Linked DNA regions of Canis lupus familiaris. The protein of the gene in region 2 interacts with the protein of the main gene of each other region in a pairwise test. Links are inferred from orthologs where the notes say so. Each region holds a gene or a part of one and is shown on either strand. Other genes may lie near its edges.

Region 1 (10,506 bases), on a different chromosome or scaffold from region 2:
GTCCAGTGTCTTGTTGAACAGTTACCTCTGCCTCCAGCCCACCCAGAGATCCAGAAAGTCTGTTTGATTTGTAGCAAAACAAATGTTTTTGGTTTTCAGAAAAAGTATTTTATAATCATTTGTACTCTTAATATTGGACAGATTGGGTTCATCTTTACTGGGGGCCAAATCCTGAAATACCACCCTCAGAGTAGGCGAGCCATCACCATTCTGTAGATAAGGATGCCGGGACTCCAGGAAATGAGACGCCCACAGTCGTTCAGAGAGTCTGGGCAAAGCCAGGTTATTTCTGCATGGAGTTTTGTAAGCAACACTGAAAATGTCATCAGCTTTCAGGGCCTATCTCAGTGTTTGCCCAGAGTCATGGGTCCGATTCATATATCTTAAAATCACATTTAAAAATACCTCTTAAATGTGTTTGTTTCCTAGACAACCTCTTTGCGACCAACCAGAATGGATACTATTGTCACTCTCTGACAAGTCTGGATCGAGCCCAGATTGACCTCAGTGGCCGGATCCGAAACGGCAGTGTATACAGTGCCCACAGTACCAACTCCCTCAACAACCCGCAGCCCTACCTGCAGCCCTCCCCAGTGTCCTCCAACCCAAGCATCACCGGGAGTGACGTCATGAGGCCCGACTACGTGCCCTCGCACCGGCACAGCGCGCTGGTCCCCCCGTCCTACCGCCCGACCCCGGATTACGAGACGGTGATGAAGCAGCTCAACAGGGGAATGGTGCACGCCGAGAGGCAGAGCCACTCGCTGCGAAACCTCAACATCGGCAACTCGTATGCCTACAGCAGGCCCGATGCGCTGGTCTACAGCCAGCCAGAGATTCGGGAGCACGCCCACCTCGCCTCCCCGCAGTCGGCCCACTACCCGTTCAGCCTCAACTACAGTTTCCACAGCCCGTCTCCCTACCCGCACCCCGCCGAGCGACGCCCGGTGGTGGGTGCTGTCAGTGTGCCCGAGCTGACCAACGTGCAGCTGCAGGCTCAGGACTACCCTGCGCCCAACATCATGCGGACGCAGGTGTACCGCCCGCCGCCGCCCTACCCGCCCCCGCGGCCGGCCAACAGCACCCCGGACCTGTCCCGCCACCTGTACATAAGCAGCAGCAACCCCGACCTCATCACCAGGCGCGTGCACCACTCGGTGCAGACCTTCCAGGAGGCCAGCCTGCCGGTGGCGCACTCCCTGCAGGAGGTCAGCGAGCCGCTCACGGCCGCCCGGCGCGCGCACCTGCACAAGAGGAACAGCATCGAGGTGGCAGGGCTGGCGCACAGCCTCGAGGGCCTGCGGCTCAAGGAGCGCACCCTGTCCGCCTCGGCCGCCGACCCGCCGCCGCGGCCCGTCTCGGCAGGCTCCCAGCCCGGCGGCTTCCCCGAAAGGGCCGAGCGGGACCAGGCGGACGAGCGGGGAGGCCTGGCCTACGGCCACAAGAAGTCTCTGTCTGACGCCACCATGCTGATCCACAGCAGCGAGGACGAGGAGGACCTGGAGGAGGACGTGGCCTCACTGGCGGTGCCTCTTCCACAGGCCCGCGCGCCCCGAGGCCGCCACTCCCCGGAGCCACCCCCACCGCCTCCCCCCGGCCCCTCCCGCGGCCCCGGCGGCCCCACCCCTGCTGCCCTGGGCCAGGGTGCCCTGCCAGGCCGCGAGCCCGTGCCTCTGCTCAGGGAGGCCCACCGACCCCGCAGAGAGGGGCTGCTCACGCCCTCCATGTCCGAGTCCGACCTCACCACGTCGGGGCGCTACCGAGCCAGGAGGGACTCCCTGAAGCAGCGGCCGGTGTCGGATCTCCTCTCTGGAAAGAAGAACGTCGTGGAAGGCCTTCCGCCGCTAGGGGTAAGCCAGTGGCGCTGAGGGCGCCAGGTGCGCCGGGTGAGCCAGGTGAGCCAGGTGAAGCAGGTGAGCCGAGGGCGCCGAGTGTGCGCCTGTGCCCCGGCGGGCTGCACTCTGCGAGCTCTCCTCATCCCCCAGGCCTCACACCCACACAATTTCTGTCGTATTTGGAACACTGAGTCTGATCGTCTATGGAAATAAGGGGATCCGTTAGCATTCTAGTAGTTTTGCTGGAGATCATTAGTGAAAGTGAAGCTTGGGATGGAAGTGGAGGGCAGGAGGAAAGGGCCTGGCGCTGCCGTGTTAAGGAAAAGGAAGATAAGACGCAAGCCTGCTCTGTTAGTGACCTGTGAGAAACCCCGTGGGGTGATGCAGCAGGGCGGGGCTGCATGTCTGAGAAGCACCCCCCAACGCAGGTGTTGCTGGTGTCCGAGTGTGTGGGTGCAGCTTGAATTCACCTGGCCATGATCTCTGAGGGTCTCACAGTGATCTGGAGCTGGGAAAGTGGCACTTTGTCCGGACCAAACACCTGAGAACTCTCAAGTGTCTTTATTTTATTATTTTTTTTCCAAGTGTCTTTAGAAAAAAGATTCCTTGGAGAAAATGCAGCTCTTTGATTCTCACGGTAAAAGTAACCAAGAGTTACGACTTCCTATTTATTTGGGGCAAAATATAAAAGCATAACATCACCTCTAGCTGCCATTCCTGGGGCATTTTTACCATGTTCTGAGACGCGTCCAGCTTACAACAGGCCTATTGTTTCTTGGGAAGAGAAAACAGACTCTGAGATGTTAATGTAGCTTTTCCAAGGTCACACAGCTAGTGGGTGACTGAACTGGAATTTTAAACCCGTGTTTATCTCTGCACCCTACTCTATCATATTTTACACTGTTCTACACTGAGGTATATTGTATATAATGTTTTATTAAGTAGCTATTGCTTATCTCAGCCTTGCTGTTTTCTCTCTTTCCACCCAAATGTTTTGAGTCACAGGCATTGGCCAGGCATGTGTGCCTTTGTCATTTAAGTGCGGCTCCTCCAAGTCACCTTGCTGCGTTGCTCAGGCCTCTGGTTCCTTGCTGCCCGTGCCGCCGTGCCGGGAGCCCCGCACTCTAACCAAGCTAACACGCTTAATTAGCCGATCCAGTTCTCTCAGCGCCCTGGCAGGGAGGACTCCTCCCCCACCTGATAGTCTGCATACTCAGGCTTGAGGACCCATCACAAGCATAGTATCTTCATAAACTGGAAGAAAACTCACAAATTTTGCAGTGTGTAGAGGTAGACTGAGACCCCTTAAAATAGTGCTGGGGATTTAAAAAAAGCCATGTTTGCTTTTGATGAATTTGGGGCTTGAACTTTTAAGTTTATTTTAAATTTTTCTTGGGATTATATTCTTCCCTACCTGAACAGTAAAGACCAGTGTGTCTCAGGTCGGGTGGAGTGGAAGGTATGGATCCTGATCAACTATTCGGGGTGGGGACAGGGTGTGGGTGTGTCTCTGAAAGGTAATTCTACCTCAGTCCCTGAGCCAGCTGGACAGGGTCCTTTTCATTTTTTTTATTTTTATTTTTATTTATGAATGATAGTCACACACAGAGAGAGAGAGAGAGAGACAGAGACACAGGCAGAGGGAGAAGCAGGCTCCATGCACCAGGAGCCCGACGTGGGATTCGATCCCGGGTCTCCAGGATCGCACCCTGGGCCAAAGGCAGGCGCCAAACCGCTGCGCCACCCAGGGATCCCTTTTTCATAGTTCATAGTAGTTTCCCTAATCACATCAAGAACTGTCCATCTTTGTTTGTGTGTGTGTGTGTGTGTGTGTGTGTTTAGAGAAAGTGTGTGAGTGGGGGGCAGGGGGAGAGGGAGAGAGAGACTCTTAAGCTGGCTCTCTGCCCAACATATGGAGCTTGATGTGGGGCTCCATCTCACCCCCCTAAGGTCATGACCTGAGCTGAAATCCAGAGTCAGACGCTTAACCACCTGAGCCAACCAGGGGCCCCAGAACTATCCATCATTTTTATGCATGACCAAAATATTTTTCCCAAATGACATTTGTTTTGAGTATAGTCCACTATTCACACATATGGTCCCTGTACCTTTTGAAGGGGATGTAGCAAGATCCCCCAAATCTGAGGCTTTTGATGAGTTTGGTTCTCTAAAAGGACAGGTTTCGGGGATCCCTGGGTGGCTTAGCGGTTTAGCTCCTGGCTTCGGTCGAGGGTGTGATCCTGGAGTCCTGGGATTGAGTCCCACATCAGACTCCCTGCATGGAGCCTGCTTCTCCCTCTACCTATGTCTCTGCCTCTCTCTCTGTCTCTCTCTGTATCTCTCATGAATAAATAAATAAAAATCTTAAAAAAAAAAAAAAGACAGGTTTCCTCCCTCGTTGACTTTAAGCCACAGTATTAGTACAATTTTGTGATTGGATTATGCTCTTGCTCCCTTTTTCAGCATAACATATTCTCCTTGCTTGAAGAACATGTATGGCAGCTGTGGCTCTGGGGAAAGGTATAGGACCTAAGAGTGGAAGAGCTTGGGTCTGAGGCTACACCCTCCCATTTATTAGTTCTCTGCCCCGTGGGCTGGACCCAGCAGCATCAGAACCTTCTCTCCCTCTGTAGCAGGGGACTGTCACCTCTGCCCTGCCTGCTGTGTTAAGTCCCACCTAAGGTTAGGCATGAAAAACACTTTGCAGATTCTATGATGGAACATAGATGACTCTAAAGAAAGGTTTTTATTGTTTTGACACTGGTTGCCATTTATAAAGAGGTGGCTCTGTGACCTTGGGCAAGCTGTTCCGCCTCTCTGACTCCTTTACTTATTTGTCACGTTTTCTTATTTGTGAGGGAAGCTGACCCCAGAGAGTTGTGGGCGAAGTGAGGTCGAAGTTAGCTTGTACGTGAGGTTGTCTCCTACTGACTTCCCAAGTACTGAAGAGCTCTACCCCCCACCTCGCTAAGCCCCTGGGCCTCCTCATAGTCCCGTGGGGTTGCCGTGACCTTCACTCTTACGACCTTCACTGTTACTACAGACGGACTTAGTTTCCATACTCACATGTGAATTAAGGTTATGGGAGTTTAGTATTAAAAACAGTGAACCAAGTTGCAGACAAGCAGAAACACTTTAGAGTTCTCCACCCGTCTCCACTCCCCGGAACCTGATTGCTATCTGAAAAAGAGTGGGCTGGTGGGAGTGCTCCCACAGCCTGGTACAGATTTTGCTCCTGTGCTCGCTGGGTCCCGGGTGGTGGTTCTCACAGAAATCACAGCGGGGCAGCGCCCTGAACCCTTTGGGTCCACCATGCTCCAGGGCGGTGCTGCTTTTGACTGTGTGTGCCTTTCTTCACCCACTGGCTTTAGACCTTGGCCTTCCAGCCGGCATGGTAGGGCGGCCCTCCTGACCTCATTCTCAGGCGGGGGGCAGCTGGAGCCACCTTGTCCTGGCTGGCTAGAGCTGGCTTGAATTGTCAGGAATCTGGCGAGCCCCTTGATGTTCCCTTGGCAGCTTGAGTATTGGCATCGGGGAAACTGGCCAACGGGGCCAGTCAGGACCCTCCCTCCCAGAGCCCCCCACCAGTTGTTAAACAGCAGCAAACCAGGGTTTTCTGCCCAAGTCAGAATCGTGACAGTTTAGCCCGTGCAACAACCTCTCCACCTCCCCTGCCCGGACTGGTAGAGCTGGGGTGTAAAGCTCATTTCCTTTGTGAGACGTGAGAACACCCTGTCACAGCACTGTGGCAGTTGCTGTGGCCCCCCGAGGAGGTGTGGCATGTCTGAGGAGACTGCGCCTTCTTGGGCTCATCTGCCGAAGAGAGGAAGATCATTACCTATAGTCACGTTAGGAGATGCGCATCTCCAGGAGACAGATGCCCTGTCCTGTAGCCCATCTTCCTGGCGTCACCATGGAGATTTCAGTCCTCTTTGATTTTCCTAATTAAAAATGTGCCCGTTCTGAGAGGTGTCACCAATCCGACACAGGTCCCACCCGTCAGAACAGAGAGCAACCACAGAAAACACTTCATCTTTTCAGAATGACTTAAAAGAACTAGGTTATATATTTTTAAAATATCACAAAAGCCTATTGCAGTCACGTAACTTCGTGTAAAACCCATTTTTTGTGGATTGTCACTGATTTTTGTGCGCGTGTCACGTGTTGAAATTTGGGAGTTCTATGGAGGAATGCTGCCTGCCTGGAGCCGCACCTTTCGTTACTACAGAGACTTGAATTGTATTTCAAAATCTTCTATCTGCAAGACTTATCAGGGCTTTGGCCTTGAAAGGAATGTCTTCTTCCCAATGTTTGCTAAACAAATGTGCGTGTGGAGCGTAATCTCTCCCGTGCCTGTGGGTGAAGGAGAACACTCCTTCCCTTTGTTTCAAGTCCTCAGTACCCTGAAATTGCCTTTCAAGGGGGTTGTATTCGTGTATATTTCATATATACATATATAAATATTTTTATAGGGAATGAAGAAGAGCCGGGTAGATGCTAAAAAAATTGGTCCTCTCAAGTTGGCTGCCCTAAATGGACTCTCCCTCTCTCGACTGCCTCTGCCAGATGAAGGAAAGGAAGTGCCCGCCAGAGCCACCAATGACGAGAGGGTATGTACGAGACATATGGATATACTGGTATGCTTTCTCTGGAACGATCCATAAAGGCCAAGTGCCTTCTTGAGATTTTAGTCACTTTGCTAATCTAATCATCGTAAATGAGTGTTAAGGCATTTTATAATTTGGACCTCAAAGTTGGGACAAATCTAATATGTTAGATAATTTTAGAGTAAATGTCGGTTCTGTTTGTTGGTTTCTGAATGTTCTTTACCTTCTTCCAGCCTTCTGCAGCAGTCTTGATTTTTTGATAGCTTTTCAGTTTAGAGGAATTCTACAAGTACACATGAGTACACACAGGAAAGAGAACACTGATTGACTGCTTTCGTTGTACTGAAAATTCATCTCAGGAGTAAATAGTTCCCGAATTTTTCACGACTTTCTTGGTAACCAAGATATATTTGCTATGAGGTTATATTATATCAAAATTAGGCATGAAATAATGCTAAGTAAAAATTAATTTGCTTACAACTGGATCCTGGAGATAATTTCAGTATTAACTCTTTTTTTCAGTTTCTGTATATCATAGATCAGAAAACAAACAGAAGCCTTTGTTCATAGAGGTTGGAATTGATTCTCCTACGTACGCTAGGACTTACCGTTCTCCAGGAGAATTTTCTCTCTCTCCTAGGAGTCACAAAATTGACCATAGATTTAGAGAAAATTAATCCAACCAATTATTTTAGACCAGTTTTCACTTTTAAATAGAACTCTGCATTCTGCTTCTCACCAACAAGGTGCTTTCATTTGTTATTTTAACTCTTAGCGTTACAGCTTATTAAAAATTTAGCTGTGGTTTCACCTAGAGTTTTCACTACTAGATAATGCTAGACTTAAAGTGGGAAGACAAGGTTTCAGATATGCCATCAGAATGCAGTGTGGACAGGGACCGCCTGGGTGGCTCAGCGGTTTAGCACCTGCCTTCAGCCCAGGGCATGATCCTGGAGACCTGGGATCGAGTCCCACGTCGGGCTCCCTGCATGGAGCCTGCTTCTCCCTCTGCCTGTGTCTCTGCCTATCTCTCTCTCTCTCTCTCTCTCTCTGTCTCTCATGAATAAATAAATAAAACCTTAAAAAAAAAAAAAGAGAGAATGCAGCATGGATATAGGACAATACTGATCATCCCATACATTCTGTTTTACAGTGTAAAATTCTGGAACAGCGGTTAGAACAGGGAATGGTATTCACAGAATATGAAAAAATTCTTAAAAAACGGCTGGTTGATGGGGAGTGCTCAACAGCACGACTCCCTGAAAATGCAGAAAGAAATCGATTCCAAGATGTCCTTCCCTACGATGACGCCAGAGTGGAGCTGGTCCCAACTAAAGAAAACAATACGGGCTACATCAACGCGTCACATATTAAGGTGAGAGGAGCGAGCAGGGCTACAACAGGCTGTGAAGTTGTGAGTTCAGCTACAGGAATGATGAGAACTGTATCCACGTCTATGTTCTAAAAACAGGCTAGTTGGAACCATTGGGACAAATTATGTTATTAAGCTGGGAAATCCATACACCTGGCCGGGTGGGAGGTGTTTTACCAATAGAGCCAAAGCCGCATTCGCCCTCCCACGTGCTAAGCCCTGTGCCCCCCACACTGCTGCCAGGAGTCAGGGAGCACTCTTTGGCCTGACCTGAGGACCTTAGGACTTCGTTCTTCTAAATCTAGAGATTTCTTTCTGGCCCATCGATTATCTCCAGAGTGGCAGAATGGCTAGTTTTTCGTGATCACATACCTGCATTGATTCTTATGTGGCAAAGATGTCTGGGTATTTTGGTTTTTGTTTTGAAATTATTTGTATATATAATGATATATTAATTATTAATATATTATTAACATATTACAATATATAATATGTTAATAATATATATAAGTATATATTTATATTTATAGAGCACACGTGAGAGAGAGCACACACAAACGTGCGTGAGCAGAGAAGAGCAGAGAGAGGATCTTTTCTTTTTTTCTTTTTTTTCTTTTTTTTTAATATTTTTTATTTTTTATTTTTTTTTGAGAGAGAGGATCTTGAGCAGGCTCCATGCTCAGCACAGAGCCTCGACTTGGGGATCAGCTTCACAACTCTGAGATCATGACCTGAGTCAGAACCAAGAGTCTGAGGCTTAATGTACTTAGCCTCCCAGGAGCCCTGTCTGGGTGTTTTTAATGGTGGTCACCAAACCTTTTCCGCGTGTCGTCTGTTCTCTTTGCATCATTCTTGTCATCACTAATTTTTTTTTTTTAAGATTTTATTTATTCATTCATTTATTTATTTACTTACTTATTTAAACATGAGTGGGGGTGAGGGTAGAGGGAGAAGCAGGCTACTGGCTGAGCAGGGAGCCTGACTTGAGGCTGGATCGGGACTCTGGGATTGTGACCTGAGCCGAAGGCAGCCGCTAAACTGAGCCACCCAGGTAGCCTTCCTGTGATCATGTTTTGTTTTGTTTTGTTTTTTTAAAGATTTTATTTATTGATTCATGAGACACAGAGAGAGAGGCAGAGACACAGGCAGAGGGAGAAGCAGGCTCCATGCCGGGAGCCTGACGTGGGACTCGATCCTGGGTCTCCAGGATCACACCCTGAGCTGAAGGCAGCGCTAAACCACTGAGCCATCCTGGCTGTCCTGGGATCATGTTTCAATATCGTTTTTGTTCTTTGTGGAAGCGGTGCCGCTTTTTCCCGAGGGGCAGTGTGATGCCATTGAACTGGGGTCATGTTACACCCATTAAAATGGGAAAAAGTGATGATTCCCACCTGGTAGGTGAGGGAAACCAGGGGCTCTCTCTTCTGCATCATTGTACATTTTGCATGTGCTGCTTGGAGATACAGTCCTTTTATTTTGAGAAGGAGAAGCTTCCTTGTTGGGAGTGAATGAGGAAGTATCCATGGTCAGGTATCTATCTTCTTGCCCACATCTTATTTCATTTGCAAGTGGTATCTGATGAGCGCAGTTTCACACTCGCTTTCAGAGACCTGGCAGTCTGCCTGTGGATGCCAGTACCCTTCATGGTCTTTGGGAATCTGCATGTGCTTTTTAATATGGGTATAGGGGCACCTGGCGGGGGCTCAGTTGTTGATCATGTCATGATCCTGGGGTCCTGGGATCGAGTCCCGCATCGGGCTCCTTCTGCCTGTGTCTCTGCCTCTCTCTGTGTCTCTCATGAGTAAATAATATCTTAAAAAAAAAATAATTTGGGTATAATTTATTTAAAAACCAAGCATTTCTGTGGAATAACTCATCCAGCCTCTTGTGACTGGATGGGTGAGAACTGAATCAAGTTGTCCTGTGTGGGTATTGCAGAAGCTACCGAGGTCAGCTGAAGAGCATGGAAGATGGCCAAGCCTCAGAGCTCCTAGATCTGTTACCTGTCAGCATGGGGCTCCCTGTGCTTTCCTCTGAATAAAGCGCTGACACCTCCCCTGGGGTGGCCCCAGACCCCCACCCACACCCTGTTACTCACTGTGGTGCTGGTAGCACCGAGGGAGCCCCTCTCAGTGAGATTCCAGCCGGTGGCCCTGAATGAAAGTATGGGCAGAATAACCCAGGCACTGTGGTCACCAACATGGGGCGGGGGGGGGGGGGGGGGGGCGGTGGGCTTTAACCCAATCTCCTGGCCGTAGATCCAGCAATGGCTCTGTTCCCTTAGACTGTCCTCAAGGGGATGCAGCCTCAGGTGGAAGCTTAGTGTCATTCTGGAGGGTGACCTTGACTTAGAAGTTCAGAGGGGAGACCACTTTCAGTAGGAGTATTTTTTTCTGCCCCAGAAATCTGGCATTTAACCTCGGTTTTGGCTGGATTGTTACTACTTTGCCTACTGTGTTTAGTACTTCATGAAGGGAAACTGTGTTTGAAATTTAGGATACTGTTATGGTGATACTGTTTTTCTAAGAAGAACCGTAACAGCAGCACTAACAACTGTGTATGGAAAACCTATTGATGTGCAAGCACCTTATACACTGACTAATTTAGTCCTGCCAACCACCCTATGAGGTACAGGACATTTTTATCTTACACATGTGAATAGAGAGAGAGGTTAAGCAAATTGCCCCAGGTC
Region 2 (10,999 bases):
AGACTCACCAAACCTAGGAAATCCATCGGCTCCAAATCAGACACTGAGTGTTTTGTAAGCATTAGTTTACAAAGGTCATTAATGTGCTGGTGGTTGAGGACATCCACATACATCCAACAGAGATGAGGATAAGTGACTCCCACTTCCACCCTCGTGAGAGCAATCTGCACAGACCAGGTCTGTTCTAGCACCCAGGCTTCTGACCCAGAAGCTACATGTGATCAACCATTGATTGCATGAAACTCAGGACTGTGTTCCTATCTTTCCCATGGGTTTTTGGCAGCATTCCAGAAAAAAAACAGCTTATGACCCTCTCTTTTGAGCCACAGAAATTTCCTAGAATTCAACACAAGCAAAATGGTCTTGGCCCTGAAAGGCTGATTCATCTCTGAACCAAGGAAGTAGAGAAAGGTGAGTGATGCCCCTGATACTTACCTCAGTTACCCTGCTAACCTTACTCAGTTTCTGGCTTTTATGTGGTCGTGTCTTCTGGGTAAATGGAGACTGCTTTCAAGACCACAGAATTGGAGTTAAAATAAAAGGCTAATTTGACTTAACCCCTCTAGGTAATTAACGTTAGGATGCTGAAGTGTTCCTGGATGAGGTGTACTGGTGTCTGCAATTTCCTTTGAATGCACCAGAAATAACAACAATGATCAGAGTAGTAGTAGCAGTAGAAGCAGTAAGACCAATAAAGGAGGATTGATGGATGGATAGAGAGATGGATAAACACATACAACAAAGCAAGTAGAGCAAAATCTAATTGCCCAATCTAGATGGCAGGTGTATGGGTGCTCGCCGTACAATTCTTTTACCTTTCCTGTATTTTGAAATTCCTCATGATAAATTTCTGGGAAAGATAATTTGAATCAAAGTGGGAATCATGGCTGGAAAGTTTCCATAAAGCCACCTCCTTTGCCTATTTTCTTCACTTCCAACTCTGGCACCATGTACACAGTATGATTCAGTGAGCGTCTGTGGAGTTGGGCTGTCGAATTTAATTCCAATCTACTAGGTCATTTCCACAGCTGGCAAGACTCTCCTAGAGCATGAGTTGGCAGTTTTTTTCTGTGAAGGCCAGATAGTAAATATTTGAGACTTTGCAGGCATACGGTCTCTGTTGCAACTACTCCGCTAGGCCGCTGCGCACAATATATAAGGAATGGATGTGGCTGTGCTCCGATACATTTTACTTACAAAAGCAGGTGGTGGTCATAGTTTGCCAACTCCATCTTGGGCCCCAAATCCCTCCACTAAAAAAAAAAAAAAAAAAAAAAAAGAGGGTAAAATTGATAGCGTGCCAACAGGCTCTGTAAAGATTTCATATGTATCAGGATAGGTCCTAACAAAAAGGAACAGCAAAACTTCTCATGTCTACCTCTATCCCCCACTTACCCATCTCCTCTCATAAGAACCAAGTCTAATTGCTCCACCACTGAGCCTGAGGTTTAATAGGCAAGCATTTCTAGGAGAGGTGATACCTTAATGTTCCATCCCAATAAGTGTTGACTGTTCACATCAGATCCCAACCTCCAAGGAGATCCTCTTACCATCAGGGGAATACATGCGAGAGGTGATGGAGTGGCATCCCCGGTGAAGAGATTCCCATGGAAAAAGCTCTGGGTGCAGAGAGATGCCCCCAGGACTTACTCTTTAAAAAGCGGAGACAGACATTAAAAGTAATAAAAAAGAGGATCCCTGGGTGGGTCAGCAGTTTAGCGCCTACCTTCAGCCCAGGACGTGATCCTAGAGACCCAGGATTGAGTCCCACGTTGGGGTCCCTGCATGGAGCCTGCTTCTCCCTCTGCCTGTGTCTCTGCCTCTCTCTCTCTCTCTCTCTCTGTGTGTGTGCGTGTGTGTGTGTATCTCTCATGAATAAATCAATAAAAATATTTTTTTAAAAAGTAGTAAGTAAGTAAATCATGTATCAGGTTTTAAGGTGTTAAGTGCTGTGGAAAAAGACAAAGTAGGGCAGAGTAAGGGAGACTGGCAGTGCTGGGTGGAGAGAGGTTGTAGTAGTAAACAAGGTGGTCCAGGTAGGGCTCATTAGGAGGATGCCATTTGAAGCAAAGCCCAGAGATGAGCAAAGGAACCAGGCAGACAGATGTCTGTGACAGTTTGCCGGGCAGAGGAAACTACCAGTGCAAAGGCCCTGGGGCAGACAGTGCTTAGAATAGTGTAGGAGTAGCGAGGAGGCCAGCTTTAGGAGAATCATGATGAGATGATGTTAGAGACCGCACTCCGGGACCAGAAAAGGGGGGACCAATGGAGAGTTCAGACTGGGCGAGTGGCAGGATTCGAGTCGCTTGTGAAAGAATCGCTCTGGCTAGCCAGTGGAGAACAGACCTCCAGGAGCAAGAGCCGAAGCAGGGATAGCAGCCAGGAGGCAGGGGCGACATTGCAGGTGAGGGATGGTGGCGACTTAGACCAGCAAGTAGCAGTAGAGGTGGTGCGCGCGCTCTCTCTCTCTCTCTCTCTCTCTCTCACACACACACACACACACACACACACACACACACACACACACAATGGATCCTTTCAGGTTCTTTCTTAGCTAAAGATGAGCGCTACTCCTCCCAAGTGGACAAGCTTGTTTACCTCAGGAAGTCGAATTATCTCCTGCATCCCTGCAGAAGCTCATCGCCTGTTAACGACTTGCGTGAACAAGCTTTAGGGAACATTCCTAAGGGTCTCACCGGGTACAGGTGACCATGTAGGCTATAACTGGAACAAATTAAATCATGTGATCGAAGCAGCAGGTTGCCAACAACGGGTTAGAATCACACTGAAGGCACGGAAAATGCCTTCCAGAGCCAAGGGAAGGTTGGGGCGAAGCGGCCGAGGAAGGGAATGAATGGAGTAAGTCAATAAATCTATGACACTTGACTCGGAGGAAGCCACCCCTCCCTGCTGCCCTGGAGTCTCTCAAGGCCCCAGAAGGGATGGGGATCCTAAGAGACTGTGCCCAGGTGTTTCCAGGGCGCTACCACTACCTCCTTCCCCACCCCGAAATTGACAGTCCCTTCTAGAATTGGTCTCCTGCCAGGGGACCATGTTTAAACAGTGGAGTTAAATACACATCGCAGAGCGTAGCATCAACCCATGTGGCCAAGTAGCGGCGCCACGGTCCTCGGCTTCACCCCGAGTTTCTGGCATGACTGCCTACTGCCTTCCCAGAGCCCGAAGAGCTACTGGGGCTCCAGCCGCGACTCATTTGCTCTCAGGGTGTAAGCTCCCCTCTTGCGAATTCTTCCGAAGGGCTCTTTGCCCCTTCCCGAACCACGCGGGTTTCAAGCAGAAACGTCAACAGCGCCTCGGCCAAGCTGTTTTCCACGCGCTCTACTCAGCTAGACCTTCCCTTGGGGTTCTCTGCCTGCAGCCGACAGAAGGCCCTGGAAGGTGCGGGCTGCCCCTGCCCGGCCTACTACGGTCTGCAGCCCCTCACGGAGCCCTTGGCACATGGTAGGTTCTGGGCAGGACGCGTCCGCTCAACAGACCACCCCTTGGAGAGTCGGTAGCTTCGCTCCCCGCGGCCAGCCCAAGATTTCATCACCCCATAGATGTTTCCAAATAGGCTCACGTAGCCGACCACGTGTGAGTTGATACGGCGTGTCCCTGCATAGCAGAGGGATGATGGGGGGGGCGGTTGGCGGTGGAGAGCAGAGCCTCGAAGAACTCAGTAGACGTATTACAGATGGCCCGTCAGTGGGGACCGGAGAGGAGGGTGGCACGAGGAGGGCCAAGAGAGGTCATACTGTCCTGACGATGTCCAGGGACTCACGCTCCTTCACCGCAATCTGGGTGCCTGGCACGTTAGCCAGAGCGATCCCTTTTCCACTTGGGGAGTCCCTGAATAATTGTCCCATGTGTTCCTTTTCGGGCACACTGCCGTCCTTCTCTGCCACCCCCCCGGCCCCCCTCCGGCCAGCGGTGAGCTGCAGTGTTCATTGCTTATTCTCTGCGCTCTTTGGCGTTACCTCATGGTTTCCTGGCTCGTGGGAGAAGTCAGCGTCAGAAGCGGGCTTTTGCCGAGCTCGTTTCTTGTCCTTCCCAGCGCAGAGCTCTCTAAACAAAGGCAGGGTTATCGCACGAACCCGAGGGCTGCCCGGGAAAAGCAGGCGCTGTGGTTATCAAAATTGGAACCTTTATGAAACACGCTTTTGTCTCCGTTTGTGTTGCATTCAATCAGATCAACAAGTGTTGGCTAAGTGCTGAGCGTGGTTTCCTGTGGGATTGTGTAAGGCCCTTGCAGGACAATAAACGTTTTGGGGGCACTGAGTAATGTAGCCATTTCGGACCCAGCCGCCGGGAAAATGTGAGACGGTCCGCTGCCGCTGGAAGGAAGGAGGGCAGCCGCGCCTGTGTGCGTGCAAGAGCAGACTGACCCCTCGGCGGTGGACCCCCGGCGGCCGATCGAGAGCCACAATGGTGCGTTGCAGCGGCAGGTGGCCACACGAGGTCATAGCCGACAGGCTGACAGGTTCAGAGTGATGCATATGACGTTGCTGGGGCTCCTCCGGGGACTTTGGATGAGACCGTGTAATTGGGAGGCCCGCTGCGGTTTTACTGTCACCCCCCCACCCCCACCCCAGCTCAAAATCTCGTTCAGGGGAGCTGTCAGGTGGTGTGTACACGGCCGTGGGCTCCAGCCAGCCCCGGGTGCTTCCTCTGCTGGCTTTCTCCGTACTACTCTGCAGGCATTGCCCCTCCGTGACTTTGCATGTTGGCTTCCTAACTGCTTCCGAAAAGCCAGAGAAGTGTCATTCTGACCCTCTTTTATTTACCTGGGTTTTTATGCTGTTCGTTTCACTACGAGTGCTCGTTCTCAGGTTCCTGAAGTCTTCCAGAGTCTGGGGTTTCGGGGTGGGGGTGGATTTTAGGTGGTGATGGGAAGATGGGGCAGGTGAGCCTTTCGGTTACGGTCACGGCCAGATACCTTAGAAAATTCTTGCAGCCCACGGTAATTTCACTGGGTTTAAGAAGTAGTACAAGGGTATCGTGGTCTAGGGCAGGGCTTTCCAAGCTTTCATGAGCACGTGAGGCGCCTGGGGACCTCGCCAAAATGCAGATTCCGATGCACCAGGTCTGGGGGGGAACTGAGGGTCTGCGTGTCTCTCGAGCTCCCGGGCCACGCTGATACTCCAGTCCACGGACCACTCCTGCAGTAGCAGCCACGTATCACTGATTTGGAAAAAACCTAGTGGCACAAAAACACAGGCGGGAAGGGGCTGCTTCAACCTGATTCTAAGGAAAGCAGTCCCAGGATTGAAAGCTTGTACCAGACGCACAGGGCAGGTGCTTGCTGACAAGAGAGTGCGTGGGGCATCTTCCTGCCTCCCGTGATCGCCCATCCCCAGGACCCGGGTAAGAGGGGTGAAGACTGAAATATTATCCTCGAGGGTCATTTCATCATCTTGAGTTTTTAACTTTTCCTATGGTCCTTTTTTTTTTTTTTTTTTTGACTTTACCTATGGAGTGATGAGGGGAAGGGGTATAGAATTTGGGAACATCTGCGAGCGTGCTGGGCATCCTACTGCCATCTTCTCTTGACTCCTCAGAACCCCTCCAGGTGGTTACTATTTTCCTCCCTTTACAGATGGGGAAGCTGGGCTTTAGCAGGGCTGAGTGACATGCCGGGGTGCACAGAGATGGAACAGGGATTTGAACCCACCATCTTGGTGCTTTTGCCCACACCAGCCTGTATCACCCAAAGCAGTGCTGTGTGTTACTAATTCAGCATAAGGAATTAGGACATGGATTTATCACTTGTTGCTTTTTTCCTAACCACCCCATAAGGTGACTGAATTAGGACATACCCCACAGGATGGTGTGTGGGGGGGTGGCCTACCCCTCCCCCCCGCTGGAGTAAATGAATGCATATTTTTAAGGTGCTTTAAATAGTGCCCGGCACAAGGCAAGTCTTCCTTAAATGTCAGCTAGGATCATTATTGCTACCATCACTCATATCCTTCAAGACCTAGTTTTAACACCCTTCCTTCCATAATGTCTTTCTTGATTATCTTAAGAAAAAAGAAACAACTCTCCTTCCCTGGGCCTTTCGGGGCAAAGAGAACATGGACTCTGCTCTAACATTCGAGTTGTTTCTTTCCCCCCTCTTCTTTTTCAATCGTGGTTCAGCGCCCAGGGCGCACCCAGAACGTTTACATAAGCTTTCTCATTCAAGCCCCAGAAAGTGAGAGAGCTGTATAACCCATCTTATCTTACAGATCCGGAAAATTGAAGCTTAGCGCAGGGAAGGGGCTCGGTCGGGGTGACCCAGCTCCCAAATGACAGTCGTGTAAAGTCCGCCACGCCTTCTGAGTCCACCCTCCACCCCCAGCCTCCGCCCCTCCAGCCACCCTGCACGTTAATTAGGTATGAGACCCATCTCTCGGGTCTGCTCCTTGTCACCCGGGCAGTGGAGAGCTGATCCTCTCGGTTCTGGAACCACTCACTCGAGGTCCGGCCCGCCGCGGGCTCAGAATCGAGTGTGCTGGGCCTGCAGGGTTGAACTCCTTGCTCTCCTGGTCACGCTTCCTTACGGATGCTCACCAATCCTGGTGATTCCAAGTCGTGTTAATTTAGCATTCACCTTTTACTTATGTGATAGGTTACCTGATGGTTGCTGGCATCCTTAGAGAAAATGCTATATTGGTTTCTTTTTTTAAAACCTAAAATTTGTTTAAAGATTATTTATTTATGTATTTGAGAAAAAGGGGGGGAGCACGCACGAGCAGGGGGCGGGGCAGAGGGGGAGGGAGAAGCAGGTTCCCAGATGAGCAAGGAGCCCAACCACCGAGCCGGGGACTCGATCTCAGGACCCCGGGATCATGACCTGAGCCGAAAGCAGATGCTTACTCGAGTGAGCCCCCCAGGCGCCTCTACTATATCGATTTCTGCCAGTTTTTTTTGTTTTGTTTTGTTTCTTTGTTTTTGCCTCCCCTCACTTTAATCTCCTTCTAGTTTCATGTGCTTATGGAAATGGGCAGCCCGCCTATTTGGTAAGCAAATTGATGTGCCTGTTTCATGTAGACGGTAATGTGAGAGCCCAGCCAAATTCTGCCAACTTCTCTATGGAAATAGATTTCTGGCTAATACCACCAGCTTTAGGATCTCATTTCATTTCAAAAGTTTTGTGTGGGTTTTTTTTTTTTTTTGGTTCTGTTTTGTTTTTATCTTCCCACTGAGTATTCCTTAGGCATGGGTAGGCAGAGCCGAATTTGCTAGCTGTTGGACAGGCATTTGACTCAACAGTGGAGCCTGTTGACTTATTGTCCTAATACAGGGAGGAAATATTATGTTTCTAAAAATTAAGCATCACCGATTACCTCTTCCTGTACCAGGGGAGACCTTAAGAATGCCTTCAGTTTAGAATCTAGGCTGATGTAGCAGAAGAGAGAAGTACAAGGAAGGGAGAGAAGCAAACAGAGGTAGAAAGGCTGGAGCCAGGTACTGTCTTAGAAGAAACTGATCTGGACGAGACAAAACGTGAGTCATCAAAACGGTGTTCTTCAAGTTTGTTAGGAAGCTCCGGGGTCCAGCTGAGGGAGTAGAAGTTTGAAGGTCTCCAAAGACATGTGTGTGTTACATGAGAACAGGGGCGCCTGGGTGGCTCAGTGGGTTCAGCATCTGCCTTTGGCTCAGGTCATGACCCCAGGGGCCTGGGATCAAGCCTCACATTGGGCTCCTTGTTCAGCAGGGGACCTGCTTCTCCCTCTGCCTCTGTCTGCTGCTCCCCCTGCTCGAGCTCTCTTTCAAATAAATATTTTTTAAAAAGGCGGGACTTTGGAATGAACAACTTTATTGAAATTTGACAGATTATATCGCATCGGATGCAACAACATGCATAAAGCCCTGGAGACTTACAAGAAAATGTGCTCAAGGACTTGCTACTTTTCCTGTCTGGCCAATGTTCTTCCCTTTAATATACAGAAGCAACTTTGTGAATTTCATTTGTCAACAGTTTCTGTGACTCACCAGATTAATTTTTAGATAAAATCCCCCCAAATCTTTAATGCAATGAATATAAATGTTCTATAAACAGAAGTGTGTGTATGATCATGCGGTACTGGGACAGTTTGCTTACTATCTGGGACGTTAGGATTTGCATTTTTTAAAACGGTGCTTTTAACGTTATGAGTTTATTCAGTACCTGACAAAGTTTTGAAGAGTAAACTTTCTTTTTCTTCTTTTCTTTTTGAAAAGTAAACTTTCTATTCAACTAACCAGATCTATTTAACTAGCATTCCGCTTTGAGGAGTCCTGTTCTAGCAGTGGATATAAAAGACGTTTGATAAAAGTTTTCACAGTTTTCTTTATACCCTTTGTTAGTAAAATTTTTAAATGCAGGGATGTAAAAGACAAAAGTATCTTAAAACTTACCACAAGTGCCCAATGTGGTATGGCTCCCCCAAAGGGGAATGTACCTCAAAAAAACTAGACCCTCCACAGTTTCAGTAAGTCTTCAAGGAAATTCTCTTCCGGCCATAGACTTTGGATGTAGAAAATCATCTTCTCTGAACAGGCGCATTTGTAGAGTTTCTAACGAAGACGTGTTACCTGACTTCCCAGATCCTGCTGGGTTTACCTAAGCCCCCCAGCCTCTGCCCATCTTTGAGTCTGGAGGCCAAGAAACCAGTGACCACGACAAATAGCACCCACTGTGCTCAAAAGAAATCCATTCTACTTTCCCAAAGGATTTATCCTTTTTTTCCTAGATAAAACAATGTTCAAAACAAAAAGTAATGGATAAGATTTGTAATGGATAAGATCTCCATTACTTCTGCCTCTAAATCAAATGATGCCCTTGGAGAACATTTGAGTCACTTCATCTGTATAAATAATGAACATAAGCTGATTTTCTTGATTCCTGTTTCTAGAATGTTATGGTCTACATCAGGAGGGAAGCTGGCTGGACTTGACCATGGTTTATCCAATGTGTCTCCCTTCCCTCCCTCTTCCCTGCCATTGTAGGCCTGTCACGCTCAAGGCCAGTGAGAAGTGACTTTTAGTGATTGGACAGGTTCACGTACCCCCCCACCCGCATCCACACAGAGCAACGCCTATGTGGATGCTTCCGGATGGAGAGTGATAAATAGGATGCAAATATCTTCTTTGTAATGCGTGATCCTGGCATAGCCAGAGGGAATATGAGTACCTCAGAGCAGCAACTTTTGGCTTAGAGCTTGAGAGTTGAAGTTAAGGACCCATAAGCAAACTCCAGCTGATCCTGATTGAATGCAAGGTGAGTAAAGTTAATGACATTCAGATTATCAGTAAACAAAGAGAGGTAGAAATTATTGAACATCTGACTGCTAGTACTCATGTGATTTCACAAAGTGAAGAAAACATAGGAAAGTTTCTCTCTTGTGACCTACCAATTAACATTCCTTTTTTTTTTAACATTACTTTTCCTTTCCAGACTTAATATCGAACTGAGGGTTGAAGCGACAGTCTTAGTAGAACCAGAAAATTGATGGACTTATTTTCTAGAGATACCTTAAGCTTTAATGTTTTCCATGGCTCTGGAAGGAAAAGCAAGAGCGTTCTTGTTTTGTAAGGCGCCAATTTTTTTTTCAATTCTTTAAAATGGATGTCGATAGCATTTTTAAATGTTCTGTGCTCAGAAATATTGAAAAGTATACTCGTGTCCTTTATGTTAAAGATCTGATCACGATCAGGAACTGTGGGTATCACTTACAATGATAGCAGAGTCTCACAGTGGTCTGGAGGATTTGGTCAGACAGCCAGACACATTAGTGGAGAGAAATTTGTTGATCAGTCCCTTCAGATATAGTGAGCTGTCTGGAGTTCAAATATTTCAAAGTTTGATCATATATAATCTGATTCAACAAATGCCTATAGAATGTTTAAGGAATAAGGAGAATTTCAATAAGGTGGTCTGGAGGGTAGTGCAAAGATGGTGAATTTATGATCCAAAGTGGGAGGCGAGTAAAAATACATAAGATGCTGTAAACAAATCAACACTATTTATAAAAGTCAGAGCTGGGCCACCTGTGTGGCTCAGTGGTTGAGCGTCTGCCTTTGGTTCAGGATGTGATCCCCCGGGTCCTAGGATTGAGTCCCACATAGGGCTCCCCGCGGTAGGTGGCGGGGGGGGGGGGGGAGCCTGCTTCTCCCTCTGCCTGTGTCTCTGCCTCTGTGTGTGTGTGTGTCTCTCATGAATAAATAAATAAAATCTTTAAAAAAAAAATCAGAGCCAAGGCTGTAGGAATGAAATACAGATGTAAGTGTTGTTAAGAATCTGCTTAGTTAAAATTTCCTCTCTAACTCTAAATCTGATTTTTAAGAATTATATTATTTAGATTATCCCTGAATGAGAAATAGTTGACTAAAAATTCTGAAGGCTAAAAGAGAATGTAGCTAGGTGCCGCAAACACTCATTCTCATTATTTTATTTGATTTAGGACGACAATATGGACACAAAATCCATTCTAGAAGAACTTCTTCTCAAAAGGTCACAGCAAAAAAAGAAAATGTCGCCAAGCAATTACAAAGAGAGGCTTTTTGTTTTAACCAAAACAAATCTCTCCTACTATGAATATGACAAAATGGTGAGACCCTACTTGTTCCATTGTTTTTGTACTATTTATTTTTCTTGAGTCTCCACAAAGTGCTGAATTACAGTGAAACAATGTCAGGTTTCTTAGCTCACACAGTAAAGATCAACCTGCCTTCACTTATTACATTGTCTTTTCTTAACGAAGGTAGGATTAATTCAAGATAAAAGGTTTTACAATATTGGCTAACTTTACTAAGGCAATTTGTAACTTTAGAACACTGGTTCTCGACTGAGGGTAATCTGGCCCCCGAGAGGGCATTTTTGGTTATCATAATTTGGAGGGGGGGGTGTAGTGTGCTACTGGCATCTAGTGGGTAGAGGCCAGGGATGCTGCTAAGCCTCCTATAATGTACAGAACGGCCCCCATCACAAAGAGTTATCTGCCCCCAAATAGTGCTGAAGATAAGAAACACTGCC

What was found.
Region 1: the proteins of BMX (region 2) and PTPN21 interact in binary tests that used the Homo sapiens proteins (3 or more experiments, as listed by UniProt). The link is inferred for Canis lupus familiaris from reciprocal best matches to the Homo sapiens genes BMX and PTPN21.

The regions. Positions count from the first base shown.
Region 1 is NC_049229.1:60,038,919-60,049,424, reverse strand, and holds part of PTPN21 (tyrosine-protein phosphatase non-receptor type 21), read left to right. Parts: intron 1-429; coding exon 430-1,850; intron 1,851-6,307; coding exon 6,308-6,445; intron 6,446-7,595; coding exon 7,596-7,817; intron 7,818-10,506.
Region 2 is NC_049260.1:11,782,553-11,793,551, forward strand, and holds the start of BMX (cytoplasmic tyrosine-protein kinase BMX), read left to right. Parts: upstream 1-4,214; 5' UTR 4,215-4,425; coding exon 4,426-4,428; intron 4,429-9,421; exon of another isoform or gene 9,422-9,555; intron 9,556-10,427; coding exon 10,428-10,574; intron 10,575-10,999. UniProt on the Homo sapiens protein: Non-receptor tyrosine kinase that plays central but diverse modulatory roles in various signaling processes involved in the regulation of actin reorganization, cell migration, cell proliferation and survival, cell adhesion, and apoptosis.